Linked DNA regions of Nothobranchius furzeri. The protein of the gene in region 1 interacts with the protein of each later gene in a pairwise test. Links are inferred from orthologs where the notes say so. Each region holds a gene or a part of one and is shown on either strand. Other genes may lie near its edges.

The links.
Region 2: the proteins of bmal1a (region 1) and npas2 interact in binary tests that used the Homo sapiens proteins (3 or more experiments, as listed by UniProt). The link is inferred for Nothobranchius furzeri from reciprocal best matches to the Homo sapiens genes BMAL1 and NPAS2.

Annotation. Positions count from the first base shown.
Region 1 is NC_091744.1:85,094,491-85,098,954, forward strand, and holds the start of bmal1a (basic helix-loop-helix ARNT like 1a), read left to right. Parts: upstream 1-1,363; 5' UTR 1,364-1,521; intron 1,522-4,464. UniProt on the Homo sapiens protein: Transcriptional activator which forms a core component of the circadian clock.
Region 2 is NC_091750.1:49,104,765-49,109,086, reverse strand, and holds the start of npas2 (neuronal PAS domain-containing protein 2), read right to left. Parts: upstream 3,105-4,322; 5' UTR 2,874-3,104; intron 1-2,873. UniProt on the Homo sapiens protein: Transcriptional activator which forms a core component of the circadian clock.

The DNA.
Region 1 (4,464 bases):
ATATGGGCTATCTTAATTTAATAAATAAATAAATAAATAGTGCCGATAAAATAATAAATCTTAGTCACACAAACTACGCCTATTATCACAAATTTTACTAATTTGTTGAATTGATGAATAATTGAAGACAATATCAGACATATTTGTGTGTTTTTTATCGTTAAAGATGTTATAATATTCAATCAAACCATATCCAAATGAGTAAATACTAATCTCACAATAACAATTTTTACTTAAAAACGTCACAGACTTACAATATATGTAGTTTATTGTTGAAGAAATCAAAGTATTAACAAATAAAAGAAGTCAAAGAACAAAAAAAAAATTGCAAATCCATGAAGAAATTTGGAAATTTTAATTTGAACAGCTACTACCCTCTAGTGGCGTGATAGAATATTGCACATTTTAGATCAGCTACCCTTCGGATATATTTCGAGATAATCCGCCAGAAAATATATTTTTATTTTACATACATTTCATATAATAAATTACTCAAACTCTGTATATCTAAGGAAACTCGCCCGCCCCACAGTAGATGTGTTCATTTTTTATCATTATAGGCAATTCAAAGGAGGCAACAATTTAACTTAAAAGACCTGTTAACGTTACTTTCACTTTTATTTCAAACCAAATATACAAATTACAGAATTTACCCCGGCATCAGTGGGCTAACACGTCATTCACTTTGCCAATAAATGGGTTGAAAATGTTTCAAAATCTTTCTTTAATTTTCTTTTCATTACATCATGAAAAAAGACAACCGGAAATAAATGTTTTTCTATTTTCCTCATTTTATAATCATGTACCAAAATAACCTACATGAATAACCAGCAGGGGGCGCCAAAGCCCAAATATGTAAGACTACAATTAGTAACCCAAATAAATGTTGTTTTGAATGTTTCACTTTAACAATTAGAATAAAATAAAAACAACCGTATTTTGAATGAAAGTCACACCGGTCATTTAGAGGATAGTTTACAATAAAAATGTCAATAAACATGAGGATAAAGGATAAGAACAGCATGTTCTTTTCAATTAAGTTGTACAGAAAGAACAGCTTTAGAAAATATAATGAAAAATGATAAAAACGGAATATATTTATATAAAAACGTGAACTGGTCTTAGATCGTCGTAAACGTATTATCAGAATAAATCATAATGTTATTAAGCGGGGGCCAGCTCGTGCTGTAAGGCTTCCTAAGTGGTTTGTTTGCGGTGTGTTTTCCATAACACGCTCTCACACAACTGGTCTCCGCATTCCGTTCCTACTTAACGCTCATTGGCCGATTATCACGCCCGTCATATTTTTCCAGCCAAGTGTGACGTCTGATTGGCTGGAGCGCCACCTACGAGGCCAAAGCGAACGCCATTGGATGAAAAACTAGGTTAGTGGTTCGACAGTCATGACGGTGAAGAGAAACTGGGTCACTGATTGAAAATCGTTTATGTCACAGTTCTATGTGTTGCTATTACATATTACCATCACATTTGAATGGATCTACGGATTTTGTGGAATATTCTGTAAGTATAAAACGACTTTAAGTCTGTATTTTGCTAATGGGATAGCTTTGTCTGTGGTTTTTAATCCCTGATAGATCGTCATGGATATTTTCCCAGCACTCTGGTCCAGTCTGGTTTTGTGGAGCGCGAGGACGAATGCTAGCTCAGCGGCCAAGTCTTGACAGATCGCGTTCCGTAGCTAGCTGCTGTGAGCTAATATTAGCGAGCTAGACATTTTTTAATGAAAGATGGAAGCAACGCACTCAGTCTGTCGGCATAGTTTAAATTATTTCCAGCGAGCACCGGAGCTAGAAAGTGCCCGGGGCTTGGGTAAATGCCGGGTTGCTAAACGTTAACCAGACGTGACCTAAGTGCTAACAGGCTAGCAATGGAGACGGGCCTTCACAGGTATCTGGAACAGTTTCTTCGAGAGCACCAATCCTGCCGCGATAACTTCTGAGCCTCCCTCCTATATCTGTACAAATCTTGTCACCGTGGGGCTGTGAAACGCATGGAGACGTTCACCGAGCTGCTTAACAACACGAGGGTCATGTTTTTGGTTATAAAACATCAAGACACTGACAGTGGAAATGTGGTCCACCGCTCGTTTTCCACACACTCCGCGGTGGTTGCTCCAAGATGCTCACAGTTTTGCTGACACACACACACACACACACACACACACACACACACACACACACACACACACACACACACACACACACACTGTCTCGGTATTAGTACCTATATCACTTTTTTGAAGTAATAAGTACCATATTTTGATTTATTTGGCTTTAAGCATCTCTTTGGTAGACACATCTGGCTTTTATTCATGGTGTAAATATTAGTATATGTGCAAACCTTATTTTAATATTTCATGAACTCTGGAACTGCGCTGCTCTGGGTGGCTGCATGTTGGAGTAGCTCTGTTGACTTTATGTAAGTTTTGCCTTTTCTTCGGCATTTTTTCTTCTAGTTTCTCAAGAAAAACTGTATTTTTTGGACACTTTACTTTTCTGTTTCTGGTGCTGTGAAGCTTGGAGGATTTTTACTGCTATTTTTTAGCTTTTTTCACTTTATGAGCATTTGTTATGATGCGTAACCATGGCAACGAGCTGTTTACAATCGGAGCAGCTGATTAACATTGGAAAGGCTGAAATAATACCTCAACTGAAGCCACAAATCCAAAATGATCTAAAACGCAAGAAGCGTGGGTGCAGAGCGGGAGCTAAACGGAGACAGAGAAAGAGGAAATTCAAACCATCTCTTCCATCGATCATAACGGGCAATGTGAGATCACTGGCCAACAAGACGGAGGAACTCCAAGCCCTTTCAAGGACTCAGCCAGAGTGTCGGCAGTTTCGGAACCGCTGGAGGAGATAATGCAAAGAAGGATTCTCCAGAGAATCAAGAAAATGATGGACAACCCTGAGCATTCTCTTCACAAGACTGTCCGACAACGGAAGAGTGTCTTCAGTCAGAGGCTTCTTCAGTTTGGCTGCAACACTGACCGCTACTGGAGATCCTTCCTGCCAACAGCCATTGTAATATACAACAACTCTTTGATGACTTGATTATTATTATTATTCTGAGCTACTACAGCAATCAGTTTCCCTCTGGGATTAATAAAGTAGTTTTGAATTGAATTGAATGTTTAATTTTAGTAATCTACCAATATTTGGGTGCTTTCAGTTTTATGAACAATTTTGTTTGGAGAAAATGCACCAAAGAGACAATACTCCCTAAATTTCTTGACAAGTGGTAACCCACCACAGTTATCAGTATCGATGCGCTGCCACGAAAGCTATGAGATAACAGAAACAGTTGTGATGATGGAGCAAAGCTGCTAATCAAGGAGACACTTTTTCATGTCAAAAATCAAAGCTGTCATAAAAGTAAGTAGGGCAGAGGTTAGAGAGGTGGGAAAACTTACAAGATGTGGTTAGCCTGTCCGCCTCATTGTATTAGTTATAATTATGGAAAGCTTTCAACATCTCAAGCAGAGTGAGTCATGCAGAAAGCCTTGTGGAGTGCACTTATGTGGGGCTGTAAGAAAAGTAACCTTTTATCAGTTTATTTGTGCAAATTTAGTTTGAGCAATGGTTCTCAGTGATGTGCTTGACATTTGTGCATCATGGTGCTTTAATTGTCAAGATGCATGGTGTTTCCCAACCCTGGTCCTCAGGGCACACTGTCCTATATGTTTTCCCATGTCTCTGCTTCAGCACACCAGATTTACATTGGCTCCTCTGGAGGACATCAAGCACTGCAGAGGCCTGTTAGTCACTTATTCATCTAAGCCAGGTGTGTGGCAGCAGGGTGTTTAAAAGGGCAACACAGAAAACATGCAAGACGGTGTGTCCTGAGGACCAGAGTAACCACTGGTGGAGACCAGACCTGAAAACCACTGATTCAAGCGGTGTGGAGAACACAAGGTTCAAACAATCTGGTCTTGAGAGCAGGAACTGACTTCAGATTCAGGATTTAGATTTTATTCCAAGCACCCTCCTGGACCCTCACTGATTCAGTAACTGGATCAGCATCTTCTGGGGCCTTTTGACTCTGGAACTGTTTGGTGGCTCTCGGGTCTTCTTCACTGAAGACATGCTGGATGCCCAAAGGGCGCATTGCTGCCACAGCAACCATTTCTCGACAGCCACTCCCTTCACAGCCTCTCGTACACCCCTACAGCACGAGGAAAACGTAGCAGTGCCCCAATCACGACCCGATCAGGCACCGCCAACAGGGCCTGCCAGCCGAACACGACCGTCCCTGTAGCCTCTAGACAGCCAAACAAGGACCTCCTCTCCTCCGCAAACAACCGGCACCACAACAGGACATGATCCACGGTCTCCTGTTCCCCACAAGCTCAGCAGCCGTCAGGATGCCTCCCCACCAAAAACAAACTTGCCTTCAGGCAACTGGCCCAGCCTCAACCTAGTTAAAACCACCAAGTCCCTTCGT
Region 2 (4,322 bases), on another chromosome or scaffold:
TAAAGGGACATGAATGTTTCCAACCTACACACATCTTTTCATTTTTTTATTATCAAATTTATTGACATGGCAAAAATTATCTCGATAAAAGTCAGAAATTTCGATAACGATACATTTTCAATTTATTGCCCAGCCCTAATGGAAACACAAACCCAGTCAAACCCATCAAAATAAATATTTGATTATTTTTTTTTATTCAAATATAACTTCTATAGGAAACACTGTAGCTTCCTTCTGCACACCTCTAAAAGCCCTGCAGAGTTTTTTTTAATATAGTTTTTTGATAAACTGTTCCATACTCAAGGTGAAGCACATAAGAATAAAGTAAGATGACATCCTGTGGTCAAATTTGGTTACTGCAATCTCGTTCACTTCTGTTTCGTGAGTTTTGTGGCTGTCATCTACAGCTCAGCACCAAAAGATTCTAGGTAACAAGCACAGATGAGTCATACACAGTAAGTTGATAAATACGTTGTCATATCTGGTGCTAGCACTATTGGGTGTTTTACGTTAGGAAGCACTTCCTACATGTATTACGGTAAAATACCTCTTGCATACAAGAAGTGTTTTTACGGTCTGGCTGATAGATTAGTTATTGCTCTGAATGACTCATTCAAGGGAGTAAAGCGCCATATTTGACTCATTATTCACTTTATGCAAAAATTTCACTGTAATAAGATATTTTTAGAGCTGACTATTTGCTTCTAATTTACTGTTAGCATTGTTAGCTCAATGTTAGCCTCTAGCCGTCTTTACTTGATATTAGAGTACAACAAAAAGATGCCGTGGCTTCCTAGGGTTACAAGAAAAAAAATTTGGGTTGCTCTTGTTCCAGACTTTGGTTCTTTAAACAACTCTAGAGATTTTTGATGGCTGTAGTCGAGTTACAAATGCCGGCGCTGCAGTGTTAGCTCACACTCACTGATGCTAAACTGTAGCTACTTCCCTCCTTCTATTTTGAAAGGAGAAAAAAAAGACAACCCTGCCAGCCAGCAAAAAATTCAATATGTTTAAGGACAGCCTTCCTTCCAACATGACTGAGACATTAAGACTGCTTTGGGAAATCTTACTCTATTCTTACACAATGCACCTTTAAATTTATTTTATTTAAGATTTAAAGATTAGCATAAAATAGTTAATCCAAGACGACTGACTGAATTGAAGTCGATATTAGTCAAATAGCAACCTGTTGTCAGATTTCAATCAATTTCATGAGATCGATCAGCATAGGCTGAACATTCAGCATTCATTTTATGTGGATCACTGCTCTGTTTTCTTAAAGAGACAGAGCATTGCACTGATCCCTTTTGCTGCTACGCAGACCCACACCATTTGTGCATGCCTAGTCACACTAAGCAGCTCTAGCAACATTCAGACTAGCATTCAGTTTAAGCTTCAGGACATGGCCCAGTAACCTACTTTCCCCACAACATGCTCTGTAACATCAGAGACGAGGCTGTGTGTCATCAGTTAACTAACCTTCAGCACAGCACCGTTCTAGCAGGAAAAAAAGCCAAAGATATTTCACACACAGTATTGCTGAAGCAAAAAAATAAGTAAAAAATAGGAACAGAAGTGATCAGTTATGTCGCTGGAAAAAGAAATCTCCTGCAAAGCCCTTGTAAGGTTGGGCTAAAACTGAAAAATGTCTACTTATATTTACCGGTAATACATTTAAACAAGCAGCAAACCAAATTACATTACAAGATGACATTTTTTAGCAGAAAGCAAGTTCAAATGGAAGCTACCTACATAAATAATGCTTTATAAATTTGTCTCTAGCCCTCATTTATGAGTTCAAAGGACAGCTGAGGGTGACATGGTTTTCTTCATCAGCAATAATAGCCCCTGAACTATCTTCAGTCCAAGTTTCTATGTGAACACACCCTAAAGCAAAGCAGAAAATGTACTTTTAACTAATGCTGTACATGAATTCAGATTGTCCATTTTAGTAACAGTGCTAAAAAATTAGCTGAGAAGCAACATAGATGACATGAGTCATGAGGCTGGCCCAAATGTTAATCAGCATGATGTAAACAGGAACATATGGTGCCGTGAACACCCCATTTCAGTAATCATGGAACTAGGCATCCTGTCCCACTCAGCTGTTCGCATACATCCTCATCACAATCCATGTCTGCTGTGTCAGCCTTGGTGTTAACACATCAGGCCAGAAAAACATATCCATAAACAAGACAACATATGCATAGAAGCATATTGAACAATATATGTTCTTTTTGACAGCACCAAAGACTTTTATTTTGAAAATCAGAACTAGAACAGTATTGAGGCTTTTCACCATCATCATATGCCATGTATGAAATCTAGTTTTCACACCTGGATTACTTAATCAATTTTTGCATTCTTTCATATTTCATTAAGCCTGAAAAATGTACCAATCTCTCAATAAAAGCTCAGCTGTAACAATCAGGGCGAGTTTGACCAAAAGGAACAGCAGGTTCCCAGGTGGCTTTGTGACAACACACACTAAGCTTCATTATACACTAGTCACAACAAAACAGTGACGGGGTCAAGCTTTCAACTTCACTCAGTTTCACACAAAATCAGAAATGTTTTTTAGAAAGCATCCTCATAACATAATATTTTTTTAGGTCAGTGTTAGCTTGTAACTATTTATAGCAACAGGGCTAAAGTAATAAACCAGGAACGTCTAAAACACGAAAGAGCAAATATTAAACAGCTATTATAACATTTCAAAGCAACAAATGTTGTTGCTTTTATTTCTAAAACATGATTAATATCGCCTGTTAATCGAGATAGACAGAAATTTGGGGAAAATTTTAGCCGCTGTTAGCTTGTTATATGACAACTGTCAAACCTGTAAATTTGAAAACATAGAAGGAAGAGCTTACCGTATTCTGTTAAATAAAGATGAGATTCCAAAAAACGAGAAGATGTAGCGAGAGTGGGGAAAGTGGGCTTGAAAACCTCAATGTCTGAAAAAGTTGACAAGAAAAAATTGTATTGCTGGGAAAAACTGTAATATTCTCCGTATTTTTGGGATTAAACCCAGTCGAAGGGAGAGAAAATGCTCCGGCTACCGACACCGGCATTTTACATAATGATACTGAGAACCGCGGAGCTGACCAACACCGGGGTCTTGAGTCCACAGCTACAGAGACAGAGGCTGAATAAGCGACGTAACATGTCTTTGGGCTGGTCGGAGCCCCGCCCACTAGTGAGCACGCGCTTGATAATACTTCAAAATAAAATTCACCTCAGGTACATAACTATTAAAAATAGTTATTCATTAATTCATTCTTAATAAAAAAGGCAGCATTTAAAAAAACACTCAGTTTTTCGCATTTGCGGATCACTTGTTTGAGACTGACGCTAGCGCCATCATAAGGTGGGTGGGTTTACCGGGTGACGAAAAAAATTCTAAACCAGATTGGTCCGATGTATTCAATCAATTTTCTTTATTGAAGAAAAACAAAACAAATGGAACACAAACACCAGTAACAGGAAAATAAAAAAAACATTTATTAAATAATTACAAAACAATTACAGGTTTTGGGAACATGGGGGTCTTTTTCATGCACATTTCCAAAATTGATGTTTGTCCAAATGTTTATTGGCACTGTGTTCAAGTTACCCCCTAAAGTTAAAGTTAATAGCTTCTTTCAACTCATTGTATTGGTCATGTTTTTTTTTCATGATCTTGTGCGTAATTAATTGAAAAGTGTGAAGATAAAAATGATTTGTGAGGTTTTCCCATTGCTATTGTCAACATGACATGGCCCTGAATTTTTGGCATCCCTCGCTTTCTTAATGAAAGGTTAAATACGATTATAGTGTAAACTTTGACTTAGATAAGAGGACGTATTTTATGGGGTAAACCAAATGTGTTCTGGAACAATCCTGTGTGATTTAAGAGATCCAAGATGTTTCACATCTGGATGTTCTTTAATGTTTTTCTTATGCTCATTAAATTAGCATCAAAATCTCAAAACAAAGAAAAACGGACTTGTTTTCATAGAGAAGCTAGAACCAATCAGTTTGAGGCTTTAGAAACATTTAAAGGGTGTTAACTTCCTTCAGAACAGGTCAGGCTAGTTTTATTGAAACATGTGTATATGACACTGAGATTTGTTTTTTGGCAAAGAAATAACAGCATACCCATAAGTATTTATCAATCCAAGCTCCCATTACAGTTTCACCCACGTGACAGAAGTCTGCATTTAAATGAAAAACAAAATTGGGGTCAAACTGTAATTCTTTATTAAAAATCACATTGTTTTATTACCCAATTTGGTTTAAAACAAATGCAGGAATTTTAAAAAAAGTAGATCAGTACATGT